2 linked regions of the Diceros bicornis minor genome follow. The protein of the gene in region 1 purifies or fractionates together with the protein of each later gene. This does not show direct contact. Links are inferred from orthologs where the notes say so. Each region holds a gene or a part of one and is shown on either strand. Other genes may lie near its edges. The genes, in order: POLD3 and SPRTN.

The links.
Region 2: the proteins of POLD3 (region 1) and SPRTN purify together in Homo sapiens (affinity purification with mass spectrometry; 3 studies listed by BioGRID, with this or other methods). This does not show direct contact. The link is inferred for Diceros bicornis minor from reciprocal best matches to the Homo sapiens genes POLD3 and SPRTN.

The regions. Positions count from the first base shown.
Region 1 is NC_080746.1:56,440,291-56,448,869, forward strand, and holds the start of POLD3 (DNA polymerase delta subunit 3), read right to left. Parts: upstream 3,624-8,579; 5' UTR 3,477-3,623; coding exon 3,417-3,476; intron 2,057-3,416; coding exon 2,001-2,056; intron 1-2,000. UniProt on the Homo sapiens protein: Accessory component of both the DNA polymerase delta complex and the DNA polymerase zeta complex.
Region 2 is NC_080745.1:24,863,519-24,871,808, reverse strand, and holds the start of SPRTN (DNA-dependent metalloprotease SPRTN), read left to right. Parts: upstream 1-4,760; 5' UTR 4,761-5,045; coding exon 5,046-5,266; intron 5,267-6,325; coding exon 6,326-6,425; intron 6,426-8,290. Other genes in the region: EXOC8 (exocyst complex component 8), read right to left, coding at 2,272-4,449. UniProt on the Homo sapiens protein: DNA-dependent metalloendopeptidase that mediates the proteolytic cleavage of covalent DNA-protein cross-links (DPCs) during DNA synthesis, thereby playing a key role in maintaining genomic integrity.

The sequences.
Region 1 (8,579 bases):
GTATGGCCTTGCTAACACCTTAATTTCAGAGTTCTAGCCTCCAGAACTGCGAGACAATAAATTTCTGTTGTTTTAAGCCACCGAGTTTGTAGTATTCTTTTATGGCAGCCCTAGAAAACTAATACACCATGTAATGAAATATTATTCAGCCCTAAAAAGGAGTGCAGGGCTGCTACATGCTATAACATGGACAAACCTTAAAAATATTATGCTAAGTGAAAGAAATCACACACACAAGATTACATATTGTATGATGCCATTTATACGAAATGTCCAGGATAGGCAAATCTACAGACAGAGTATATTAGTGGCTGCCTAATGCTGGAGGGAGGTGGGGGGGGGGACCGAAATAGGGGGAAAATGGTGAGTGACTGTTCATGGATACAGGGTTTCTTTTTGGGGTGATGAAAATGTTCTAAAATTAATTGCAGCGATGACTGCACAACTGTGAATATACTAAACACTACTGAATTGCACATTTTAAATGGGTGAATTGTATTGTATGTAAATTCTATCCCAATAAAGCTGTTTTTTAAAAAAAAGAATTATGAAAGAAATTAACAGGAAGATATGACAGAGAGCTAGGGAGTGGTGGGGATACCTGAAATAGAGCATTAGGGAAGGGCTGTTACAAGAAATAACGTGTGAAATTGGAGCTGAAACCTAAAGGATGAGGACAGCTGGGAGAAGAGCATTCCAGCCAGAGGGAATGGTGCAAATGTCCCAGGGTGAGAACGGGCTTGGGATATATGAGGAACAGAAAGGCAAATACGGTTAGAGTATAAGTGAGGTAGAGAGTGGCATGGGATGAAGTTGGTAGATAGGCAGGGCCTAAACAGTATGTTAATTCTATAAAAATTACAAGTAATAAGAGTAGCTACAGTAAAATTGCAGGCAAATTTATTTCATCTCCAGTCCTCAACATGCACCTTTAAACCCCAACAGGCTTATCTAATAGTTACCTTATTTTATATTTAAACGTTCATAACCGCAACAAATTATTACTCTTACAGGTGTCCATTCTCAAAATTACCTGAACCTCTTGGGTTTGGGCCAGGACCGGTCTTAGCAACAGCAATCTCAGTCAAAATCAGTCCAAACCCATTCCTGGGCCAAGAGTTTCAGGTCTTGAAGGCATAAACATCACAGTCAAAATCAGATTCCTAAATCTGTCAAACAGCAAACCAAATAAAGCCAAATCTACCCATTTTAGAGATCCGGGATTTTCTAAGACTCATGGAATGTTCCTATGACTCAAGGAATAGGGAAAATCAGACTACCTTCAGGAATAAAACAAACTAAATGAGTATTTCACGCAATATATGTGCCCTCAGCCTGTTCACCAATTCCTCCTCTTGGGACATAAACAACATCTGCATATTTGCAGGTCAAGAAATTTTTGAAGTTAATTCCAAAGTTTGTTTCTCCCTTTTGGCCTCAAGTTGGACTATAAGTTTCAGCAAGGAAAAGTGATATGGCAAATTCAAGAAAGGTAATGCTCTATGCCATCCTAAACACTCGCTTTTCAGTTTCACTATTTAAGTGAAGTTAAAAAAACTATTTAAGTTCTCCCGTCTCATACTATTATACAGCTTGTGTAAAACACCTGTTGACCTCATTATGGAAGTATGTCAATAACACCCAGAGATGGGCCTAAGGAGCACGTGTGAAAACATAATGAAGATGTGAGATAACAGGCATATAAATCTGAGGTATAAACAGAACTGGCTAGTCTGTTTAATAAATTTGATATAACAAAGTGATATTAACCAGAGGGCAAGGTTACAAATAAACCCAGTAAATGTATCACCACACATTTGAGTAGAAGTCCACTTATCTCCAAAATAATAAAAGTAGTAAAAGGTAGTAAAAATAGCATGCTTTCCCATTTTTCCAGAAAAAAAAAAATAATTCTAACCTAGAGGTCATCTGTAAAGCTAAAAAACAAAGCAAAACGAAAAACTCCAATGCGATTAAAATTAGTAATAAATTGGACTTACTGTTTGGCCTGGTTGACGTGAACCCCTAGTGTATAGCTCAGCCATTTGTACGTCACCTGCAAGAAGAAATTTTTTAAACGTTTTATCAGATGACTCCAGAGTGCAGGTCAGTCCCAGGGGGTCCTAAAAGGTCCTACTCTTAGATGATTACACTTTATAAATTACAATAGATGCCACCCCAGTTTGCCAAGAATGATCCATCTGGGCAGGCAGGATGGAGAGATTTCTCTTACAAATACTAAGAAGTTTGTTTCACAGACCAATTAATGCAAAAGAGTCTAAAAAGAAAGGTTGAATATACATAGAAAGAAAAGGGCTCTCATTTTTCTCACACTCCTTGTTTTACTAAGGCTCTTTTTTTCACATTCTGTCCCTTTTTGGGGCCACCACCAAAAATTATCTTCAAATTCACCCAGAAGCTAGATTTCTTTGAAGTGTATGACTTGGAAACTTCTAAGGAAAGTTGCAGCCATACAAACAAACATTAAAGGGCACCAGTGGTGCAGGGGCCAGAGAATGAATGAAGTGGATGAATACTGCATCAGAGGGTAGACTGGGAACTAAATGCATCAAGCCTTGATCTTCCTTCCATCCTTCCTTGAACTCTCCTGTCACTTGTCGCCTCCTTGCATGCCTATCACTCTCCTCTCAAAGTCTTCCAATTCTAAATGCTGTTTCCAATAATTAGAAGACTTACATAGGTTAGGCAAAGGCAGTATGATGTAGAAGAAAGCATTAGCAAGAGACAGACCTAGGTTGGAAAAATGCCTATCCCCTACTAATTCGTATAAATCCTTACTTTATTTGTATAAAGAAATTATTTGGCCCCTCTGCTTCAACTTCCTTTTCTAACTCTCGGTAGGTCACCGTAAAGATTAAATGCAATAATGTGGATCCAAAGTTCACAGCAGGCACTCAATTACCCACGGTTTGCAAAGCGCATTCACATCCATCATCTCACTTGAGCTTTACTCCAACCTGTGAGGCAGGTCAAGCCTGTGTCCATACCAAATTTACAGGAAGAGGAAACCGACTGTCAGAAAATTCAACAACTTGTCACTTAACCCAGTTAAGACATAATTTCCTCAACTGTAAACTTGGGACTTAAACGCCAACCACCTTATCAGACAGGTGTAGGGACACCCTAGAAATATTATCAACCAACGCCCCGCCCTCCGCGCCTGACCTCCACGGCCCCTGGGGCGTGGGCACGCCCACTCGAGGGACGCGGAGTTGCGCGCGCGCCAGAGGGCCTCTTCCGCGAGTCCTCGCTGGCCCTGAGGCACGAGGCGTGGACCCCCCTCTCCCTTCGCCGGTCCCCACGAGGACACACGCCGAGGGGTCAAGACCCCCGCCGCCCTCGCTGGGCCCAGGACCCCCGTCGCACGCCCGCCTTCCCCAGTCCTAGCTCCTCACGATCTTGTTCTGGTCCGTGACGAACTCGTCTATATTTTCCAGATAAAGCTGGTCCGCCATGGTGCTGCGACGCCGGTCCCCGCCGCCTCAGAGCTCCCCTTGCCGCCACAAGCGCAGCTCCCGCCGGCGGGAAACGTCTTTTCTCCCACCCAGGTCCCGGGTCGTTTCCCACGGCAACGGAGGCGACGCGCTACGGCGGCCGTCCGAGGGTCAAACTAGTCTCCGAGATGGCGCAGGCTGAAGTGGGCGGAGCTTGTAGGAGCGGGCGGAAGTGAGGAGCTGGGAGAGCGGGCGTGGACTAGACGGGCTGTCTGGGAATCTCTGGTTTCAAATCTCAGCTCTGCTAGTTAATGACTGACCCAGGGTAAAATACCTCACCTCGAGGAGCCACAGTCTCTCCACATGAAAGTTGATGAAATAATCCTTGCTCTTGCATCCCTTTATTCAACAAATATTTATCAAGTACCTATTCTATTTGAGGCACTTCTTTAGCACTGGGGACCCAGCAGTGAACAATAGAGACGGAAATAAACAAGTAGTATTAGTAAAGTAATGCCAGCAGGGATAAGGTGCTGCTTGTTATAAATCCCTCAGAATCGAACATTCGGGAAGGTTTTCCAGAGGGGATGGGAGAAGCAGAGTGTTTCAGATACAGGCAGGAGCGTTGCTGGTAAGAGAAAAAGGTTCACCATAGCTGGAATGTTGGGAGAAGAGGAGAAAGAGGAGGAATGAGACTTGGGAGAAGCCAAATCATGCTGCGCCTACAAGGCTCTGTGAAGGGGCACATGGACTTTATTCTCGGGAAAAGTTTTCAGGTTGGGGAATTGCAACTAAAATTTCTCCTAACATCCACTAAAAAACAACCTTTATCATTGACTTCAGCATCAGCCAATGTAGTTCAATGCAGCAGCATTATGGATAATCCAGCAGTTATCTAGAGTTAGAGCCTGGATTTGAATCCTGGTTTTGATATTTGTTGTATGACCTTAAGTGAGTTATTTAACCACTGCAAGTCTGTTTCTCCATCTATAAGATGAAAGTAATAATAGTACCCACTTCGAACGTTTGTTGCTACATGCATTCATTCAAGACATACTTAGCAAAAGCCTACTAAGGGCCAGGCACTGTTCTGGGTGCTGGGGTGCTGGGGATACAGCTATGATCAATAATACACAGAACCTGTTCACATATAGCTTACAGCCTTGTGAAGAGATTTAAGTGACGGATGGTAGTGGCTTAAAGTAGGATAGTAGTAGTGGAAATTGAGAGACCTGAGTGACTTGGGTCTTCTTTTTAGAGTCAGCAAAACCTGCTGATGAAGTAGATGAGAGGAGTGTGGGAAAGACAGGAATCAAGGAAAATGCCTAGATTTGGAACCTAAATTGTTAGGTAAATGGTAAAGCATTTGACTACTGAGATGTAGAAGACTGAGAGAAAGAGAAGATGAGGAAATCAAAGAATTCTATTTGGCCAGAGTTATAAACAAGATAATATACATAAACCCCTCACACTATGTCTGCACACAATAAAATCAATAACATTTGGCTATTACAGTACTATATACCAGGCACACTGTACCAGGTGCATTGAGAGTGAGATTTCATTTAATCCTGATAGCAACCCTGCAAATGCCTTGTGTTTGTCCAGATTTTATAGACTAAATTGCCTAGGCTTAAGAGAGGAGACATGGCTGGGTCTGGCTCCCTGGCCTGGTGGTTAAGTTCAGCACACTCCACTTTGGTGGCCCAGGTTCACAGGTTTGGATCCTGGGTGTGGACCTACACCACTCGTCAGCCATGCTGTGGCAATGTCCCACATACAGAATAGAGGAAAATTGACACAGATCTTAGCTCAGGGAGAATCTTTCTCAACAAAAAAAAAAAAGAGAGAGGAGACATGGATTTTCTAGGTCACAGGGTTAAGTGGTAGCATTGGGATTGGAACTCAAGTTTCTTGTCATTGCTACACAGGAGTGGGAAATAAGTCAAGATAATTCACCAGAGAGGAGTCTGAATACTAACCCTATGCCAAAGGGAGAGATGATAATGCTGGCCCACCGTGGTCCTAGATATACCAATATTAAGAGAGTTGCATGACTTTTAGAAGCCAGATTAGTGGTTACCCTTTGGAGAGTAGGAAGTGGAAGGCTTCGGAGAAAAGGGTGATGTTCTGGTTCTGGATCTCGGCACTGGTCTCATGGGTAGGTTGAGTTTGTGAAAATGATTTGAATTGTACACTTCTGATATGTATAGTTTTCTGTATGTATGTTCACGCCAATAAAGAGTTTAAGAAAAGTGATTATTTGAAGAGTCTTAAATACTGTCCCAAGTCTTGTCAAACCAGGAAAATAGAAAACAGGTACAGGTATTGGAAAGAATGGATTTAGTCTTAACCTTAGACAAAAGAAGAGAGATTCTGGGAAGAAGGGATAATGGGTAAAAATGGACCCCAAGCAAGATAGTAATGGGATTATCAAATAAGATAAATGACCAAAGGCATCTCCAAATCTGAGGTGGAGTAATGGTACTAGAAAAGAATGACCACGGCCCAGGAGTGGGTAGGCTGGGAGTTGGGCTTGTACCTTAAGGGTAAGGTTGCCGGAGGGGGAAGGGAAGGGTTAGCTTTTCTGTTTGTGGCCGAGGCCTACCCAGCCTGAACATTCCCACCTCAGGGGAGCATAGCTGAATAGAAAGCATGTGGGCTTTGGAAATAAAATTTTTCTTTTAAAAAGCAAGCAAGCAAACAAACAAAAACCTGGGCTTGAATCCCAGCTCTACCACTTCCTAGCTGTGTGGCCTTAGGCAAATCATTTAACCTCTCTAGTCCTCAGTTTCATCTTTAAAGAAGGGATAATAATATGCAGTGGTATACTGATAAATGTTTAACAACCAATTTACTGAATAAAAAAGCCCTCATTTGTAGTGGTTGCCAACTTCTGTGGTGTAAATATTCCCACCATAGCAGACTTCAAGCTACCAATATTGATGTCACGGATTGCAGAGTTAGGAAAAGGTACACAATATCACACCATTATTTCCACCACTCAAGTACAATAAACAAATAACCTCAAGAGCATAAATAGTAGTAAAATGCAGTAAAATAATTAGGAAGTGATGAGATTCGAATCTTTATTGTCTTTGTTTTTAATATAATTTGTTTAATTATAAATTTATATAATTTAATTTTTAGTAATTGCCTTGTTTAACAACTGACTTGCAAACTTTCTGAAACTTCAACATTTGGCTCTCCTAAGCAAACACAGACCAGCTCTAGAACACCAGTATAAATAATTTACCTTTTGTGATTAAGGGGATTGAAAGTAACATGTTCTGTGGCTGGTAGATAGCTAAGCTTTTTATAAATGATAACTAGTATTTTATAACAAACACTTATATACCACTAACTATATGCCAGGCTCTGTTCCAAGTGCTTTACAAATATTAACCCATGTAATGTCCATAAGAACCCTAGAAAGTAAGGTGCGTTATTATCCCATTTTTCCACATAAGTAAACATTGGCACAGAGAGGTTAAGTAACTTGCCCAAGATCACAGAGTAAGGGGCAGAGCTAAAACTAAAACCCAGGCAGTCTGGCTCCAGCATCTATGATCGTAAACACTGTGTTTTGCTGTCTCGTTATTAGTTTACACCTGCATATAGGAAAACCAATAATAAATACAGTGAACTCAAACACATTTATTGCAGAACTTTGGAGGAATCCCTGTGCACATCAAAATGAGAATTGCGGAAGCCAAGAAACAAATGGTATATGTTGATTATCTACAGGTTGTGGGAACATAGAATCCAGGCAAACAAGTTAACCTGGGAAGTTTTCAAGGCAGTTGTTGGAAGGGCAGTTGTTGGAAGGGCAGGGGACAGAAAGTTAGATTAGGTTTAGAGAGTTGGAACTATAGCTAGCAAAAGCCAGTAAACAAGAATAGGACTATGTCCAGGAAATTAGTGTTTTTTCTAGATGATGCCTGAAAGCTTAGTTCTAGGGTCAAAAGTAAACCACAGGGGCCAGCCTGATGGCATAGTGGTTGAGTTCGCACGCTCAGCTTTGGTGGCCCAGAGTTCTCGGGTTTGGATCCCGGGCACAGACCTACGCACTGCTTATCAAGCCATGCTGTGGCAGCATCCCACATATAAAGTAGAGAAAGATGGGCACGGATGTTAGCCCAGGGCCAATCTTTCTCAGCAAAAAGAGGATTGGCAACAGATGTTAGCTCAGGGGTAATCTTCTTCACCAAAAAAAAACAAAAAACTAAACCAGAAAAGAGGACCTCTCTGTACTTTCACTTCCATAAATCATAGGTGTGAAAGTCTTTCAGCTCGTGTGCATTGCTGGGATAATAACTATTGTCTATTGAGCACCTACCATGTGTGGGTACCTTTCGTAGAATGACTCATTTCATCCTCAAATAACCCTGCTATTCTATTCTATTCTATTACTCCTTCACCAAAAAGGACTCAAATTTGAAATCAATTTTATGTTATCAATAGGAAGAGTGAATAGGAAATGATTCGATATAGGTTCCAAGACAAGCTTTGCTTAAACTAATAACTAAGTAGGATTTTAGAACTGGCCTCCTTCTAACATAACAACAACCACATCAGCATCTAATAGGTTCTTAGTAAATGTTTATTGACTTAACTTCAATTACACTGAAGGCAAGATTTAAGGGGGAAAAACACTGGATTAAGAAACAAGGTGACCTGAGATAGTGTTCACTTTTTCTTATCATTCATTGAGTATGTAAAGTATATAAGCACCATACTAGACCCTTTACTTGAATATTCTCATTTAATCCTCAAAACAATTCTGTAAAATAAGTAAATATTATTATTTACCTACTGTTATCCCTGTTTTGCAGATGAAGAAGCTGGAGCTCGGAGAGGTTAAGTAACTAGCCCCAACCATATGGGTCATAAGTGGTGGAGACCTCTTTCCACCTAGCTGTGCCCAAAGCCCCTGCTCAGGCACTGTCAGTGTCTTTAGGAGATAGCATTTGGTTGATCTTTATTCTCTTCCTCATTTTATTTTTTCTTTACTCGTGTTTGAATTTTCACAAGAGTTTGTATCATTTTTATCATCAGAAAAAAATAACACATTTTCTTTTTTTTTTAAAAAAATAGAGCATTTTGCAATGTAAAATTAACTCA
Region 2 (8,290 bases), on another chromosome or scaffold:
TAATTATTTCAATCAAGTCTATGATTCCACGCTCAAGTGACAGTGTTACATTTGAAGCAAACAAGAAAGGGCAATCAAGCCTTAAGTGGTATATTACAGTATGTACTATATTTTTCGACAATCTGTAACTGCATTCTATTCCTTGACTTGTTCAGGAGTCTAATGAAACAAGAATTAGAGAGAAGAGCTCTGACTCCACTTTGAGGAACAAAATGTCATTGCTCTGTCCTGGCGCAAAGGTACATTATGACATAGGTGGTCTTTAATCAACTCCCCACAATAATTGATTCACCAAAAGCTACTTCCTTCAGCTATAACTTTGACTGAGGAACACACAAATTCTAACAGAAGAAAATTCTGTACTTCCAGTTTTAAAAAGCTGATATATCTGAGCATACACATTTAAGTTTTTACAACTTCATGACTTCAGAGAAGTTCTGATTTCAGAAGTATCATTTCATGGACCCAGCATCAAATATTTACACAATACATGTTTCATACAATATAGTTTTAGAAACTGTAAGTAGCACAAAGTAATCACAAAATTTTGATCATATTCAAGTTTCCAGTGATCTTAAAAGCGACAAACTATAACTGTTTTTGGTCAGCTGAGATATCCAGTTATATGGTTATTATCTAGAAAATCCTAAAGTTATATGAAAAAATTAGTCAAAGAAAATCTGTAACTTTGATCATTTCCAACCTTGTAAATATGCATAGGTAAAAATAAAATAAAAGGGCTCATCTGGCATCTGAGTCATTAACTGAAAGAGCTCTACAACCCTCCCTAAGCCACTATTTGGAAGCTATTTTAGGTTTTACATAATTTCCACAGTCTTAATACCACTATCTTTATTCAGATAAAAGAAATGACCTTTTGAAGTCATCAGCATCAGAAATGGCACTTATGGACAGGAATGACAACTAGAAGCTAGGGGAGAAATGGATCTTAGCACAATTTCTCTCCAAGCATGAGAAATGTTATAATCAAGTACAATAGAAGCAATAGGTTAGAAACCTTGGGAAGCTCAAATTTCTTTAGTTATTTTTGTTTTACTAAACAATCTGAAGTAAGCATTATATTCACTTTAAAAACAAAACAAGGAAAATAAAAACTAAAACAAGAAAAACGCAGCATGGAGCATTTCAGTGGGAGTCACCAAATCGCTTGGGCACTGTGTCTCACCTTTCTGTTCTCCACTCGGTTACAAAAAACCAAAAACAAACCTCCAAAGTAGTCATCCGGAGAACACTGTGGGGTTTGCATAGGATTTTTTCTAATTTCCCATCTACCCAGACCCTGAAATTTAAATAAATGTTTCAATGAAAACTTGGCCCGATTGGCATGGAGTCTGACCACTCTGTAACCTAGGCTGACAGTGGGGGAGGACAGCTAAAAACCACCAGCTGCTGTCAGGTTCTTCAATGTGTCCTGTTTTTTATTATTTTTATTTTTTTAATATGAAAAGACAACAGCTCCAGCTGGAAATTCAAACAATTCAGGAATATGCTGAAAAAAATATTTATCATAGTCCTTAAGATTTTCAAGTAAATGCTCCCAAATCAAATATTATAAAGCTGCTAATTAGCAGCTGAAAATCATTAGCCATTCAAATTACATTAGAAATGTTTGCTGCACTGTTTTTATGAAAGCTTCCTCTTGTATTCTATAAGGATCAGAGTGTTTGAGTCCACACTAGCTACTCTCAAGAAGCAATTCTGTTGACTGAAATTTACCCTAAAACCAATTTTCTCAACTCCTCCTTCCTTGTCCCCAAATTGTTCAATCACATTTTAAGGTGAAGTATATTAAGCATTTTAAGGAAGTATATAAAGCAGGGTGTTTTATACGGCATTGTCTCCTTTAAGAAACCTAACATTTTAGTGAACTAGGAAACGTTTCACAACATACTTAAACTCTATGTATTTATAGATATTATTTTTCTCTGCTGCATAATATATACTGTGAGAAAGTGTGTTTTGACTCAAAGGATAAGCTGAAATGCTGTAATGTGATAATATATTCATTAGAGAATGAGCATGATTTAAAAGAAAAGCATATTATATATTTTACTAATTCCAATGTTATTGTTATTTAGGGTTAATTTAACATCTTTTTCTTTCTCCTTTTGATTTTGCATTTCTAACTGAGAGGGCATCTTTTATTTTTAAGCTGTGTTTGAGACTATAAAGAATATGCTAATACAACTTAATATAAATATAAATAATATATAAGCAACATATACGTATACATATAAACAGACCCAAGCATCAGACCACTGACGTTGTACTTTCAGGATTCACACGAATAAGTCTAGATGCATTCCTCAGGTCCTGGAGTTGCTTGGCGGGTTTCCCCACACCTTCTTCAAACCTTTTCTCCACCACAGGGAGGACTGTTTCATATAGGAAGGATGCATTCTGTCTGATAAAGGCCTTCTTCTCTGGATCCTGCTCACACCGAAGACTATAATCCACATGCTGAACAGCAACCAAAATGATTTCCACCAGGCTCTCCAAAAGTACCATGTGCAGCTCTGGGAAATACAGCTTCAGTGCTTCTTCCAAGAAGCCCATGGTCTGCTTGGTAAAGGCCACCACTGTGTAACTGAGGTTCACCCAGCAGTCATCCCCTGTGTACTGCTCGAAGTTACTCACCCCACAACTCTTCATCTCCTCTTTGAGTTTACCCAGGGCCTCTGGAGTCATCAAGTTCATCCTCCTCCACATCTCCTCCGAGTTGCGATGTTTAGTGGCTTCAATTATGATCTCTTTGTAACTGTGCAAGGCACCTTGGATGTCTTTCACCAGAAGGGCGTGGATGATGAAGGTAAGGTCTAGTCCGATGTCACCCAGTTGCTGACAATGCTCCTTTGCCACTTTTACACACTCGGCTGCTGTAGAGAGGCTCTCCTTACTGTCAAACACCTGCTTGCTAAAAGCATCCACAAACATGCCCATGGCTGATCTCGCCCAGACCACAAAGGCAGAGTAGCAGCCGCTGTCAGTGCCTGAAAAATCTGTCTCAAATTCCCTTGCAGTCTCAAGAAGGCTGGTAAAGAAGACATGGCATAGCTTATGAATGTACAGTAAAGTGGCACCTTCAATGCGAAGCTGACGGATGGCAGTGTGCACAGCTGCTGCCCTGTTTCTCAAGAAGAGCTCACAAGCCTTCGTGCACTGGCCAAGCCGGATTAGTTGAGAAACTGCCCTGCGAGTAGCCTTGGGACCACCTCTCAGGGAACGATCTGGGGAGAGTTCAAAAACCAACACCTCAGTGAGCTGTCGGACACGCTCATCCACTTTGGCCCTTAGTTCTTTTACAGGAGGTGGACTGGGCTTATCTTCCAGGTAATGGTTCAATTTATCCAGCAGGTCAACGGCCCCTTCAAAGTCCCTCTGGGCAATACAAACATCCAGGTCTTCAGGCAACTCCTGGATCCATTCCATTGAGAGGTCCACCTTCTCTTCCTCTACCTCAGGAATAGCTGGTTCGTCGTCGTCTTCATCCTCAAATGGGTTACTGGCCTTGGAAGTCACTTGGGGTGGCCCTCGAGGGGCCGCTGCCTCCTCCTGCTCCCTTCGTCTCTTTTCACCGAGGGCCCTCTTCGTTTCCTCCAGCACTTCCAGCCACTCCCGTTTAATTTTAGCATTTTCTGCCTGAAAAATACGGCTCTCGGGAAACATCAGCAGCTTGAACATGTCCTTCATGGGCGGGTTGTCCTTGACATTGACCACAGCCAAACCATCTAGAGGATAGAGAGCGTCGTAGCGATACATCCCCCGCCGCTGTGGCAGCCAGGTGGCCACCAGCAAACAGTCGTTCATGAGAAAGCCGTGCACCCGCTGCACTTGGGCCATGTGGTCCGCGTCGTATTCCACCAAGTCCCCGTTGTACACCAGGTACTGTCCCGGCGTCTCTAGCAGGTGCCTGCAGCCTTCCACCTTCTCCAGCAGAGTGGTGAGAGTGCGCTGCTTTCCTTCCTCGCCCGACCCGGAGCTGTCGCGGGAGGCGCCCCCGGGGGTGGGAAAGAAGCTAGCCTGGCCGCGGAAGTGGTCTCGGCCGGCCGGGCCGCCCCCTGCCTCCTCCCCTCCGGAGGCCGCGGCGGCCCCAGCGGCGGCGGCAGCTGGCAGCAGGGTGAGCGGGATGCTCTCCAGGCTGCTCTTCTGCTCCGTCAGCAGGTGGCTGAGCTGATACATCTCGCTCTCCAGGTAGGAGATCTCGCGGGCCGTCTCGATGAACTGCCGGTAGTTCTGGTAGACGTTGCGCTTCAGGTTCTGCGCCGTCTCCTCCGCCAGCGCCTGGATGCGCTGCCGGTGCTCCTGCAGGTCCCGGTCCCCGTCCGACTGCTGCGAGAGCTGCTTCACGTACAGCCGCGCCTCAAAGCCCCCCGACTCCAGCTGTCGCCGCAGGCGGCTCGCCCCACTGTCCGACATCGCCATCGCCATTTCCGTCCGGGCCCCACGCAGTCACTGTCACTATCGCTGCTGACGGTGCCGCCGCTGTCGAGACCCACCCAAACCCCGCCGAGCTCCAGGGCTGAGGAACAGATGGGAGACAGACAAGTACGCCTGCGCTCGAGTCTGAGCGTTAGACACTGCGCCTGCGCGAGGGGCCGGGCGCAGACAATGCGTCTGCGCAGGAACGCCATTGGCCTAGAGCGCGTGCGCCGGGGGAGTATTGCGGAAGTGAGTAGAGGGAAAGGCAAAGAGACGTAGGTAGTGCGCATGGGCCGAGCGTGGCGTTGGTGTTTGAAGTTACCGGCGAAGCGTAAAGGCGATAACCAGCTTAGTGAAACCTTCCTCTCGCCCAAGCCCTGGGAATCCCAGTTTCGAGCCCACTAGGAGGTGTCACGCTGACTTCTTTTTTTTAAGCCCCAGAATCCTGGTGTCGGCCTTGGGGGCAAGCTGAGTTCTCGTTCTCGCGCCAGTTTTCCTGAGTTCTCGCGACATCGGCGGGCTGACCCGAGAGCCGGTATCTCCCAGGAGCTCCACCCGGCCCTTGGGTTTCTGAGCCGGCGGACCTCGCTGGGATCCTGGCAGCGATGGATGAGGACCTGGTTTTGGCACTACGGCTTCAGGAGGAGTGGAACTTGGAGGTCTCGGAGTGCGATCAAGCCCAGGAGCCCTTGTCACTGGTGGACGCGTCCTGGGAGTTGGTGGACCCCACCCCGGATTTGCAGGCCCTGTTTGTGCAGTTCAACGACCGGTTCTTCTGGGGCCAACTGGAGGCCGTCGAGGTGAAGTGGAGCATGCGAATGACCCTGTGAGTCCCGAGCCCGTTGGGGAAAAGAGGCGGCTGGCTGCCCTTCCTCAGCCCCTGGCCCTGGGCTTCTCTTCTTCTCCGCCTCGACGGCCCAGGGGCCGTTAAACGAGGGCGTCTGGTTTTGGACCAGGCACCTCCTCTCCGTGTATTTCTCCCTTTCCTACCCTATCTCTCTTTCCCACCCAGACAACTTTAAGAAAGCTGTGTGGCCCACCTCGCTACGGTTTGACTTATAGGGGACACAATGAGAGAAGAGGATGTTTCTTTGAATCTCACCTCACTTGAAAATAAATTAACACATTTCTGATTTGATTTACTGTAGTGTTTTAGGAGCCAGGAAGGAGAAGCAACCAGAGTCTGGAATGCTGAGGACGCAGTGAAACCTCCAGAGGCGTGTTGTCCTCTTCTATGCTCATTAGGATCGCACCGCTTAGTAGTGAGCTCGTGTGTTAGAGTGGGCAAGGGCTTGACGTTTCCGTATTTCTGGACCTAAGGGGTCTTCGGGGATGCCTCTAAAAGGATTCCTTTCCTACACGCTAAATTTGAGAAATCTCGATTTGAAATAATCGAGTCCTGTACAGGAACGGAGTTAACAAGTTTAAGATGCGGTTGTATATTACCGTGCTTGTTTTTGAAGTGATACAAAACAACCTAAAATAAAACAGATTAAGATATCATATAAAATTGTGTTTAAAGTGCACGTTTTCTTCACATAGGCTTGTATTATAATTTTGAGATGTGCTAATGGAGATCTGGCTGTTACTGCCACAAACTGATTATAGTTTGTAGGGAGGAGACTGGGAGCAGCAGAATAGGATTATCTTCTTTGAGCTGTTGCAGCCTGGTTAGGGTAAGGGAAGCCACTACTGTTCACATATGTCCATAACTGGGGTGAAATGCAAATATCTCCCAGGGAAGAGGGTATACTTTTAAGAAAGCCATCTGCCGTAGAGTTCTCAGTGTGAACTGCCCAAGAATGTATATGGGTTTGCTCTTTCCTCTCTATTTCCCTTTTGTATGTATTTGGTAAATCATGCTTTTGTGGTGGTTGTTTTCCAGGTGTGCTGGGATATGCAGCTATGAAGGGAGGGGTGGAATGTGTTCCATCCGTCTCAGTGAACCCCTTTTAAAGTTGAGACCGAGGAAGGATCTTGTAGAGGTATTCTTTGCATAAACTTGATTCTTAATTCAGTAACTTAGAAATGCTTATTATTGATTTAGACTCCTGTGAATTAACCTGTACGTGTCAAAAAAGGAAACTAGTTTTCCCTCATTGCAAACTTTGTGGGGCAGATAATAATGATTACCTTCTATTTTTATAGTGCTTCAAAGTTAAAGGCTTTCATGTATATTATCTAAATTGATCTTTACAACAACCCTGTTTATGTTCATTGTGTGTTATCCTCATTTTTATAAAAGGAAATTAAGATTCAGAGAGATTAAGTAACTGGTTTAAGTTACATATTTAGAAGCAGAGAAAAACTTAGGATTCAGATCTTCCTATTAAGACACAAATTTTGACTCTCCTTTATTCAACCACCATGGTCCTGCCCTCCCAGGACATCTAGCCCAGCTGGCAGAACAAACCAGCGTGAGGGCACACTTCCTATCTGGAGCTAGTGGTCACTCCTGCTAGCAAAATGGAACAGTGGGAACTCTTAGATTATGGTTAGTTGAGTCTAACAGATGCCTGAAATTCTCCAGGATGCACCCAGTGTGACTTGTCTTGCCCCAGTTATATCACTTTGTATGCACAAAAGAGCATAGGGTGGTAGACATTGGATGGGAAATATGTTAAAACATGCTTGGAAATATGAGGGATGCTGTTTTTAAGGATAATAAAAGGTAATGAGTTTCACAGCAGTATGAATGTACTTAACATTATTGAACTGTACACTTAAAAATAGTTAAGATGTAAATTTTATGTAATGTGTTTTTTACCACAATTTTTAAGAAAGTAAATAGCTAATAAATGTAAAATAGTACAACAGAAATACTTGATTAATAAAAAAGGAAAGAGGAATAAAGGAACAAAGCCTGGATAAAGAGAAAGGTAGGCATAAGCACAATATCAATAATTATATTAAATGTAAATGGACTAAACACTCCAGTTAAAGACATGAAATGACACACTAGATTAAAAGAGACATACTTAAAATAGACACACATATGTTAAGTGTAAAAGGATGGAAAAAAGTAAATAGAAAGTTGTTGTGGCTATATTAGTATTAGACTAAAGATTTTAAAGGAAGAAGTTTTACTTGGAAAAAAGGGGAGATATTTTATAGTGATAAAATATTCTATTAAATAAAAACATAACAAGCCTAAAAGTAATTACATAGCTTTAAGCAAACGAAGCATAAATTAGCAGAAGCAAAAAGAGAAATAATCCACAGTCAGAGTTGCGGATGTTATAAGTCTCTTGGTAACTCAATGAATAAGCAGAAAAAAAATAGTAGACGTAAAACAAAAAAAATCGAACAACATGATTAACCAAATCAACCTGACAAGGAGCCCTAATTGGAATAATAGTGGCTTAATGAATATTTATTGCATAAATGATTAAATAAACATATGAACAAATTTTGTTTAAAAGATAATGGGTGAGAAGAGAATGGGAAATGTGTGGTAATGGTATCAGCTGAGCATTTGCTGTGGGTGGAAAGTTACAGTATCAAATCGGGTAAGAAGGACACAGGAGGAACAGTGGGACCCTGGTCTGTATTTAAAGTAGCTACCTAAATTATAATGAATAGGTTCAGAGAAGGAAAGAACTCTATCTGGTTGAGGAGGTCAAGAAAAGCTTCATACATGCAGAGTTTATTACTACTACTATCACCACTCCTACCACTCACTCACTATTGAGCACCTGTTGTGTGCCAGACTTTGGACTAGATTAACTAGTGTTAATATAGTTAATCTAGAGTATGCTTTACCACAACCCTGCAAGATTAGGATATCCCCATTTTAGGGATGAGGAACAAGTTGTAACTTGTGCAAGGTCTCAGGCACAATAAATAACAG